Linked DNA regions of Macaca mulatta. The protein of the gene in region 1 purifies or fractionates together with the protein of each later gene. This does not show direct contact. Links are inferred from orthologs where the notes say so. Each region holds a gene or a part of one and is shown in the gene's direction. Other genes may lie near its edges.

Region 1 (2,538 bases):
ATTTTTGACTTATAATGTAACAGCTTGTTGACCCATTTTTTTTTTCAGCCCTCATGATGTATTGGCTACACTTCTAAACAACCTCAAAGTTCAAGAAAGGCAGAACAGAGTTTGTACCACTGTAGCAATAGCTATTGTTGCGGAAACATGTTCACCCTTCACAGTACTCCCTGCCTTAATGAATGAATACAGAGTTCCTGAACTGAATGTTCAAAATGGAGTGTTAAAGTCACTTTCCTTCTTGTTTGAATATATTGGTGAAATGGGAAAAGACTACATTTATGCTGTAACACCGTTACTTGAAGATGCTTTAATGGATAGGTAAGTGACTTGAACTGATGACAAGAAAATAATTATAACTCTTCCTTCATTTTAGAATATCCTGAAATAGTTATTAGATGACTTTTTACTGTAATGTAGTTAAAGAAAAAAATGCTAGCCTGGAGTCTTGGGACATCGTAAATATGACTTATTATTTTAAAATAATGTGCACACTGTAGTGATTCCCCAGACTTTCTTTCAAGTTCCCCCACCCCCTTTAAATCTCTTTTCATATCTGTTGAACTAAATACATTTTGAAAAGGGTTGATTGATAATCTTTTGTTTTCAAAATTGGTCAAATATAGTTAGAGGACATGATGAGCAGGAGCTAATCAGTGTGGCAGAGACCTGATCTTTTTAGCTTTTTATTGCAGGTAAAGGATAGGTTTCTCTTAAGCCTTTGAATTACTGAACATAGCCTGCCAGAGCTACACTCTTCCTATTGCAGGTCCCTGGTGTTTCAGATAGTGACCACCAGTACAGTACTGTTCGAGTTATTTGACAGATTGCTAATACCTTTTACCATCTAGACGGATGCACAGCCTTAAACACAGAAGTAACTGAAGAAAGTGCAAAGGAAAGTGCAGGCATAGTAAGGGAAAGAACCGTTTCACTGGCTCCTTATTTTTCAGGAGAGAGAAGTTACTCAAATCAGAGCCCATTCACATACTTTTGTGTACAGATTAAAGTTATTCATTAATAACCTTCTGAAAGGGAGACTTAACTGGACTTGACAAGTTACCAGAAAGTGTATATGCAAGACATGGAAGCAAAGTAAGAATTGTGCTCTGTAAAAGCCTGGCTGCCCAGGGCTAAAAAAAATGAGGGTAAATCACCCTTGCTCCATATTCCTCAGTGAGAAGTGCGTGAGGACCATAGTGCAGTCATTAATGTATGTCACCCGCAGTTAAAAACTTTGTTCTGTGTACTGAGAAGTGGAGGGAGTAATTCCATTGAAAATTACTAAATGAAAAGAATACTTCAGTTGGAAATTTTATTAATGAGGAATACTGCTTCATTCTTATGCTTAATGACATTATTAAAATAAGAAAAACAAGAATATTAGTAAATACAAGTATTTTTCTCTTTTGATATGGTCTGTGTTACTATCTTTGGAGCAAAGTGTGGAAACTCATTTTGTTTTTTAGACGGACTTTCGCTTTGTCGCCCAGGCTGGAGTACAGTGGCACGATCTCGACTCACTGCAGCTTCTGCCTCCCAGGTTCAAGTGATTCTCCTGCCTCAGCTCCCAAGTAGCTGGGACTACAGGCATGTGCCACCGTGCCCAGCTAATTTTTTGTATTTTTGGCAGAGATAGGGTTTCACCATGTTAGCCAGGATGGTCTCTATCTCCTGACCTTGTGATCCACCGGCCTTGGCCTCGCAAAGTTCTGGGATTACAGGCATGAGCCACCGTGCCTGGCCTGGAAACTCATTTTCATACCCGTTGCAAATCCCAGTGTGTTAGCCAATGAGCTCATACTTGGTTGAATAATTGTGGAATGAATAACTGATTGATTTTTCATGAACATAAACTCAGTTAACATAGGAGATGATAGTTACTTCTGTAGGTTTGAAAAAATTGTTGATCTTCCTCTCCCCAGATTGAGTTATTGAAACTTAAACTTTACTTGAGAAGGGAATTTAATTTTAATTTAGTTACCTATTATATACCAGTATCTGAAGTACTAGTAAAGATTTAAGTTTATAATCAAGAGTTTAAAATGATTTGGGAGGCCAAGGTGGGAGGATCACTCGACCCCAGGAGCTCAAGATCAGCTTGGGCAACATAGCGAGGCCCTCCATATCTCTAACAATAAACATTTTTTAAAATAATTTTTCTTTTTTCTTTTTTTTTTTGAGACAGAGTTTCGCTCTTATTGCCTAGGCTGGAGTGCAGCAGCACGATCTTGGCTCACTGCAACCTCCGCCCCCCAGGTTCAAGTGATTCTCCTGCCTCAGCCTCCCGAGTAGCTGGGATTATAGGTGTGCGCCAGAACGCCTGACTAATTTTTGTATGTTTAGTAGAGACAGGGTTTCGCCATGTTGGCCAGGCTGGTCTAGAACTCCTGACTTCAGGTGATTCACCTGCCTCGGCCTCCCAAAGTGCTGGGATTATAGGCATGAGCCACCAATGCCCAGCCTGAAAAGTAATTTTAAAAAAGAGAAAAAAGTTTAAAATAAGATATTACCGTTTATTATTCATACATTAGAATC
Region 2 (3,753 bases), on another chromosome or scaffold:
CAGCTCGGCACCGCCCCTCACCGCCCCGCCCCGCGGCGGCTTCCCTGCCCCATTGGTCCGCGCGGCCCTAGGTCTCCGCGGCGAGAATCTAGTGATTCCCTCCCGCCCTGGGCGCGGCCTGACTGCTCCCCAGCCAAGACACCCAAGCTCTAGCACGTTCATAATGTGACAGTGGTATGGGGTGCCACGCAGTGTTTCCAGGAGCTCCGAGGGGGAGCGCCAAAATGCTAAACCCATTCTTAGCCAATTGTGCACCGCTCACGAGTCAGAGCTGACCAGCTACCGCGGAAAAATCTCGTGACACGCCTGACTCCTGATGAGAGTAAAATAAACCAGGCTTTGAATGCCGGTCACTTAGGACATCCGGCCTAAAATAAGGCTGGTTATACGACGCACTGGGGGAGACACAGGGCTACAGCGAGTTCTTCCTTCGCATCCCAGCGGGGGCGGGGGCTGAAAGATTTTCTCCCGGATGCATATCCCTGTCGAAACTGAACTTGGCGCCACCTGCGAGCGCCTGGAAGCCCTATGTTAAACACTGGGTTGCCCTTCTTGCTCCTCTTCCTCCTGGCCTTTAATCTCAGGCGCTTAGCAAGCCTCCTAAGGCTTCCAAACACTGCTGGGTACTGACAACTTAGGCGGACACAGTCGCCTCAAGAGAGACGACTCCTGTAATGGCGCCTGCGTCAGACACTAACATGGCGGACATAGTCGTGCGCGGCGCAAACGTCAGCACCTCTACCCCAGCCGCTCAGAAACAGCGGAGGAGAGCAGGGCCGTGCTCACTGATTGGTCCCTCGGTGGAGCGGGCCGGACCGGGCGTTCCCTTTGGAGCCAATCAGAAAGGCGAGAGACCGAATTGGCCGCTGCGCCTCCTCCCGAGGCATGCTGGGAGCCTGGAGGACTAGCGAGGAGGAGTTGAGAGAACGGAGCGGACGCCATGGCGACCAACATCGAGCAGATTTTTAGGTCTTTCGTGGTCAGCAAATTCCGGGAAATTCAACAGGAGCTTTCCAGGTAAACGCCTCCCAGATTCTTCTGCTCCCAGCGGACCGTTAGGGCCTCACCAAGCCTTCTTTGGCATCTTTCTTCGGAGACGCCGTCGTTCCTCGGCTCAGGCCCCGCCTGGGCCTGGGATCCATTTTCCGGGCCCCCCCCAACCGCCCCCCCAGCCGCTCCCTTCCTTTCCCCTCGAGGAACTTCGCCTTTTCCGAGGTAACCCCAGACTCCCTGTTTTAGAACCGAGTTAAGATGCTCACCCTTCTCCCCTGTTTGGTTCCCCCCTGCCGTTTAGCTACTCGTAGGCCCGGTTGTCCGCCAGGGACAGGCCTAGTTCCTTCCTCAGCTCCTCCTCCGCCGCCGCGTGTCCCCTCCCCCTCTCCGCCTCCGCGGATTTTGCCGGCCGGTGCCTATGACCGGAAAGGGTCTCTAACGGCCGTTTCTTGAGTAATCTTAAATCCTCTTTATTATTGCGAGCTTCAGAGCGCTTGGGGGTCTGGATCTATTAATAAGATTATTCGGAGCCTAGTGTCCTGTAGTGTCTCTCAGCCGTTCTAATAGTTAAATGTTTCAATTAAAACTAACTCAAACTAATATTTGCTACTTTGTTAAAATACTCGAGATGACGTTGGAAGGGGACTTTGAAATGGTAGTGATTAATTACAGCAAGTGAAAGTGGACTTTGTGTGTAGGTCTGTTATTTTCTTGCTACCCCTGCCCCAGTTGACACGCTATTTTTGTCGTTGCTGGTAGACTTTACATAATTTGCGCTTGGCTTCACAAAATTTGAAGGCGAAGAGGTTGTTAAAGAAATGGTTGTTTAGTCAGGAAAATAGTGTATCATGTTCAGCGGTTGTCTTTCGGTATTAGCTTTGTGTAAGATACTCAGTTCTTTAAAGTACAGAGGTAGGAAAGAGATCTTGAAACGTAAATGTTCCGAGTTCGAATGTTTTTAATTGTATTTTAAAAGTTGAGTGCAAGAGCAGTACGTGAATTTGAAAATGGGCCGAAAACCAGTTGTAAGTGCCCAAAGTAATACAGGATTATTAGGGCAATGATGTATTATTGCTAGAATCATCACTTTTGCAGAATGTTTTGCTTTTTAAGTGGAAATAGATCCACTCACATTGCTTTTTAAATATCTGTGATATTGCTAGTAGTGTTTTAGGATGAGAAGAGACCCGAGCTTAGAGAATATAATTTTCCTGACAAATCTTGCTGGATGCTTTAAGTAGTTGTTTGCTTAGTTTAACAAGCTGTGTTTTTGTAGCTTTTAAAAGCTAGTCTTTCCTTTAGAAAATGAGTGTTTTATTATAGAGAATTTAGAAGAAATGAAAAAGAAAAGAAAAAACTCACATTATTGATATTCTTATGTCATTTCCCCCCCCCATGTATTGTGTGATATGTGATCATCTTGTATTGATCATTTTTCCAGCTAATACGTTGTTAACAAGTTTGTCCCTCCCATTCTGTCTTTTGGACTTATTCATGGCTGCATAGAATCCTGTTGTAGGAATATATTGTTGCATATTTAGGTGGTTTGAAATTTTCATTGCTTTTCAGTAAATGCAGTTAACAGTTGGTAGCTTTAAGATGAAATCATTACTTCCTTGTAGATTAACTTTTAAAACCATAATTACTTTTCTGATTTTCAGATTTGTCATAATTATGTATAAGTGCTTAGGAAAATTGTAAAATAAAGTGCTACAGAAAAGAATATCTAAAAATAATAGTAGACGAAGCACTTTATTACTAGAGGAATATGCAGTTTCTCTTCAAGCAACACACAATGCATTATCAGTCTGCAAACAAGTTTTTGATTATTTGCCATTTCAGTGAGCTATTTTTTTTCTCATCTGCTTTTATGTAAATTAGAGTATTGAGGCTGACAGATAGTTAAAACATGTTATCGAACTTCTGTTATAGATGGTGTGTAAGAATATGGCCTCTGGTTTGAGTACCAGCTTCACCTCTTAGTAGCTGTGTGACCTTCAGCTAAGTTTCTTCATTTATAAAAGAATAATAGTGGTGATCTTAGAGTTGTGTTAGGATTAAATGAGTTAATGTAGAACAGTATGACACTAGCTAGTAGTCATTAAATGTTAATTAATATAATTATAATTATACAATTCATTGTATTAGAAAACCAGATGTTCCTTGATAACATTTAGGTAACTCCTGAATTTTTTTTGGTTTTTCATCATTCAGACTTTTATCAGGTAGTGGAGCATAATTGTTTTATGTGTTTTCATTTAGCTAAAATTGAAGTTAAAATCAAACTGTTGCTGAAATTATTTGATTTTTCAAAATTTTGCAAAGTCACACGAAAATAGTAGAAATTACTGGGCGAATGACATGTTCTTACCTATTTAAAGATTTCTTTGGCCCTGTGAATGGAAAATGTGTTAAGCCATCTATGCTTTTACTGTTGGTATAAATGCCACTTGTTTTATGTGAGTTTTTTAAACCACGGTTCTTGATAATTGTGTAAAAATTGCATAAATTATTTTCCTTTTTAAGTTTAGTGGCATTTCAATAACAATGTAAGCCTGGACAGAGGTTACAGGTTACCCTTTTTATTCAGTGTGCCTGTGGCTAGCTTTTGTGTTCCTTGATACTATTGATGGTGATTGTGATTTATGCACAGGTGTGGCTTTAATGTAGCCATGGTTTCTACCATAATGTTAGGCCTTTTGATTTATGACTGGGCTCTTATTAATTTTTCTCCCCTGAGAGAAATATATGGGCAACCCA
Region 3 (3,753 bases), on another chromosome or scaffold:
AGAAAAGGACTCATTGTTAAGACTGGGGGCCATGCACGGTGGCTCATGCCTGTAATCCCAGCACTTTGGAAGGCTGAGGCGGATGGATCGCCTGAGGTCGGGAGTTTGAGACCAGCCTGGCCAACATGGTGAAACCCTGTCTCTACTAAAAATACAAAAATTAGCTGGATGTGGTGGCACGTGCCTGTAATCTCAGCTACTTGGGAGGCTAAGGCAGGAGAATCACTTGAACCCAGGAGGTGGAGGTTGCGGTGAACTGAGAACCAGCCGTTGCACTCTAGCCTGGGCAACAAGAGCAAAACTCTGTCTCAAAAAAAAAAAAAAAAAAAAAGACTGGGGGTAGGAATCAGAGACTGCTGTCCCGACTTACAGAATCTTATACTGTTCTAGTTGCCAGGCCCCAAGAATGATGTCATCTCAGCACTGTCTCTAGAACCATTCATTCTCTCTAAGTGTGGAACTTAGACGAGTGAGAGCAGGCTCCTATTAAATAATTATGATCTTGATTGCTCTGGCCCTACTCAACTGTAAATTTTTTCCAGAGCCAGAATGGCTTCACAGAGGACAACTTTGCTCTGAAAAGAGTCTCTTTGGTCAGTGGTCCTCAACTGAGAGCTTTACAAAGAGTACCAATGCCCAGTTCCAGCGCTGGAGATTTTAATTGGCTTGGGGTAGAGCCCTGGCATCAGTATTTTTAGAGGCTCCCCAGGTAATTCCAATGTGCAGCCAGGCTGAGAATCACTGCTCGGTAAGTGGGATGACTGGGGAGTGGGAGATCAAATACTCTAACTTCTCACAGCACCTATTCTAGAGATCAGTGGGGCAGAAAGATAGAAATAAAAGGTGGAAAAGGACGAAATGGGTAAGTGTGGGTGAACTAGTTCCAGGGAAACGGCAATCTCCACTGTGGATTCAGGGAAGGCGTCACTGAGGGCTTTCTTAACAGTTCAGGTCAATGGAAGCCATCTTGAGGCACACACATCGTGCGCGGCATCCTCCGGGAAGGTCGGGTCATTTCACCCCATTTTACTGCCGAGATGACCTAGGTCCAGAGACGGTAAAGAGCGGTGTACGACTCACACAAGTCGGGGGTCCTGTGAACTGAGGTTGAGCCTGGCGGGGGCAAGGCTCGGGGTGTTCGGTCCGAGATCTTTAAGCGAAGTCACCAGACCCCGCGTTCAAAGCCCAGAGGTAGGCAGGCGGCTGGCTCTCGGCCTCAGGCCGGGAGAGAACCCAGCGGGTACCAACCTCAACCTCGCTCCCGCGTCCAGGTGGAGAAGCGGAGCTGGTTGGCCCCGCCTCCGGGTTAAACAAAGTTCGTTACCTCCTAGGCGTGAGAGGGTGTGGCAGTCTTGTTGTCACTTCCGGGCGAATAGGTTAGCTAGAAGGAACCCCTCCATTACGCGACGGCGTAATCTGACGTCACTTCCGCGCGCCGCCGCAAACGTCAGTGTCGGGCGCAGACCGCAGCAGTGCGGCTTGCTGTTGGAAGTTCAGGCTCGGTTGTCTTTTGGGAGCCATGGAGAGTGACTTTTATCTGCGTTACTACGTGGGGCACAAGGGCAAATTCGGCCACGAGTTCCTGGAGTTTGAGTTCCGACCGGATGGTAAAAGCAGCCTGCCGCCCGCCGGGAGCGGGACCAGGCCTTGGGGCGGGCGAGTGGGGAGGCCGAGGGTCGGAAATCTGTGGGGAACTAGAGGAGGAAGGGGCTGAGACCTGTGCAGTGCGGATCTGAAAGGAGCGCCACTGTGTCTGCTCCACGGCGTCGTTTTATCCATACAACAAACGTTGGCTGAACGCCCACTGTGTGCCAGGCTCTGTTCCACTCTTTGGGGATACGACAGCGAAGATAGACAAACTTCCTCTCTCGTGGAACTTGTGTTTTACTGCTGGGAGAGAGATCATAAAAAGATGATTCCGGATAGCAGTGAGTGGTCAGAAAATATGGTAGAATCGCTGGATGGGCTGCTTTTAGATAGGTTGGCCATTAGAGAGCTCTAATGGTATATTGCAGCTGAGCCCTAATTAGCAAGAAGGACCCAGCCTTGTGAAGCTCACAAGGAAGACCATTCTACCCAAAGGGAATACCAGAAGTCAAGGCTGCAGGGCGGGAATGAGCTTAGGCATGTCTCAGGTGGTCAGTGTGATTGAAGAGTGGTGAGCTGGGAGATGGCAGGAGATGATGTCGGATAGGTAGTAGGAGCCGCACCTTGTAGATCTTTATAGACCATGGTAAAGAGTTTGGACTTGGAAGGCTTTTTTTATTTTATTTATTTTTTTTTTTGAGACGGGTTTCGCTCTTTTTGCCCAGGCTGTAATGCTATGGCGCGATTTCGGATCATTGCAACCTCCGCCTCCCGAGTTAAAGCGATTCTCCTGCCTCAGCCTCCCGAGTAGCTGGTATTACAGACACCCACCACCACGCCCGGCTAATTTTGTATTTTTAGTAGAGACAGGGTTTCACCAGGTTGGCCAGGCTGGTCTCGAACTTCTGACCTCGGGCGATCCGCCGGCCTCGGTGTCCCAAAGTGCTGCGATTACAGGCGTGAGCCACCGCGCCTGGCCGGGCTTGGAAGGTTTTAAGCAGAGAAGAAATGTGATCTGTTCTTGAAAAAGCATTCTGGTTATTGGGTGCGGAATGGGCAACAGTGAAAACAGGGCTATTGATTAGGAGACTGTTGTCAAGACAAGAAAGATGTTGGGGGCCAGTCGCAGTGGCTCACGCCTGTAATCCCAGGACTTTGGGAGGCTGAGGTGTGCGGATAACTTGAGGTTAGGAGTTCGAGACCAGCCTGGCCAACATGGTGAAACCCCGCCTCTACTAAAAATACAAAAATTAGCCGGACGTGGTGGCAGATGCCTGTAATCCCAGCTGTTCGGGAGGCTGAGACAGGATAATCGCTTGAACCTGGGGCGGAGGTTGCAGTGAGCTGAGATAGTGCCAGTGTACTCCAGTCTGGGTGACAGAGCGAGACTGTGTCACAAAAAAAAAAAAAAAAAAAAGATGTCGGTTGGGACTACAGAGATAGTAGAAATGGAGAGAAAGATTTAGGAAACTGTTGGAGGCAGAATCAACTGGACTTTGATCGTTGATAGGATTTTTTTGGCGGAGGCACTGTGGTGAAGGAAAGAGGAATCAAAGATGACAGAAAACATCCATTAAGCGGGCCACAAAGATGTATCTGACAGGCCCCGACTGTGAGGGAGATGGATTTGTAAGCAGGGACCAAACAGCGTATTAGGTGTTGTGGTAAAAAGAAACAGAGGAGACTTGCAGCAGAGAAGGGGCACCTAGCCAAGCCTGAGGGTCAGAGGAGGCTTCCTACATAAAATGATGGGAGGAGGGGATGTGAGGTATTGGTTAGGAGACCAAGAAGAGTCAAGAAGGCATTTTAGACAGCATGCAAAGAGGCTGAAAACCAAAAAGTGCTTGGGATGTTTCAGGCAGAAACCAAGTTGTTCGACTCCAGCTGTGTGAGAGAAGAATATTGCAGGAGTGAGGCTGGAAAAGCAGGCAGGGGCTTTGCTTAGCCGTATGCCATGTTGAGGAGTTTGGATTTTTTTTTTTTTTTTTTTTTTGAGATGGAGTCTTGCTCAGTTGCCCAGGCTGGAGTGCAGTGGCACGATCTGGGTTCACTACAAGCTCCGCCTCCCGGGTTCACGCTATTCTCCTGCCTCAGCCTCCTAGGTAGCTGGGACTACAGGCGCCCGCCACCACGCCTGGCTAATTTTTTACATTTTTAGTAGAGACG

What was found.
Region 2: the proteins of SF3B1 (region 1) and SON purify together in Homo sapiens (co-immunoprecipitation; 3 studies listed by BioGRID and IntAct, with this or other methods). This does not show direct contact. The link is inferred for Macaca mulatta from reciprocal best matches to the Homo sapiens genes SF3B1 and SON.
Region 3: the proteins of SF3B1 (region 1) and MAGOH purify together in Homo sapiens (co-immunoprecipitation; 3 studies listed by BioGRID and IntAct, with this or other methods). This does not show direct contact. The link is inferred for Macaca mulatta from reciprocal best matches to the Homo sapiens genes SF3B1 and MAGOH.

Annotation. Positions count from the first base shown.
Region 1 is NC_133417.1:102,331,844-102,334,381, reverse strand, and holds part of SF3B1 (splicing factor 3B subunit 1), read left to right. Parts: intron 1-48; coding exon 49-321; intron 322-2,538. UniProt on the Homo sapiens protein: Component of the 17S U2 SnRNP complex of the spliceosome, a large ribonucleoprotein complex that removes introns from transcribed pre-mRNAs.
Region 2 is NC_133408.1:13,839,880-13,843,632, reverse strand, and holds the start of SON (protein SON), read left to right. Parts: upstream 1-885; 5' UTR 886-940; coding exon 941-1,017; intron 1,018-1,259; exon of another isoform or gene 1,260-1,379; intron 1,380-3,753. UniProt on the Homo sapiens protein: RNA-binding protein that acts as a mRNA splicing cofactor by promoting efficient splicing of transcripts that possess weak splice sites.
Region 3 is NC_133406.1:187,368,894-187,372,646, forward strand, and holds the start of MAGOH (protein mago nashi homolog), read left to right. Parts: upstream 1-1,446; 5' UTR 1,447-1,519; coding exon 1,520-1,607; intron 1,608-3,753. UniProt on the Homo sapiens protein: Required for pre-mRNA splicing as component of the spliceosome. Plays a redundant role with MAGOHB as core component of the exon junction complex (EJC) and in the nonsense-mediated decay (NMD) pathway.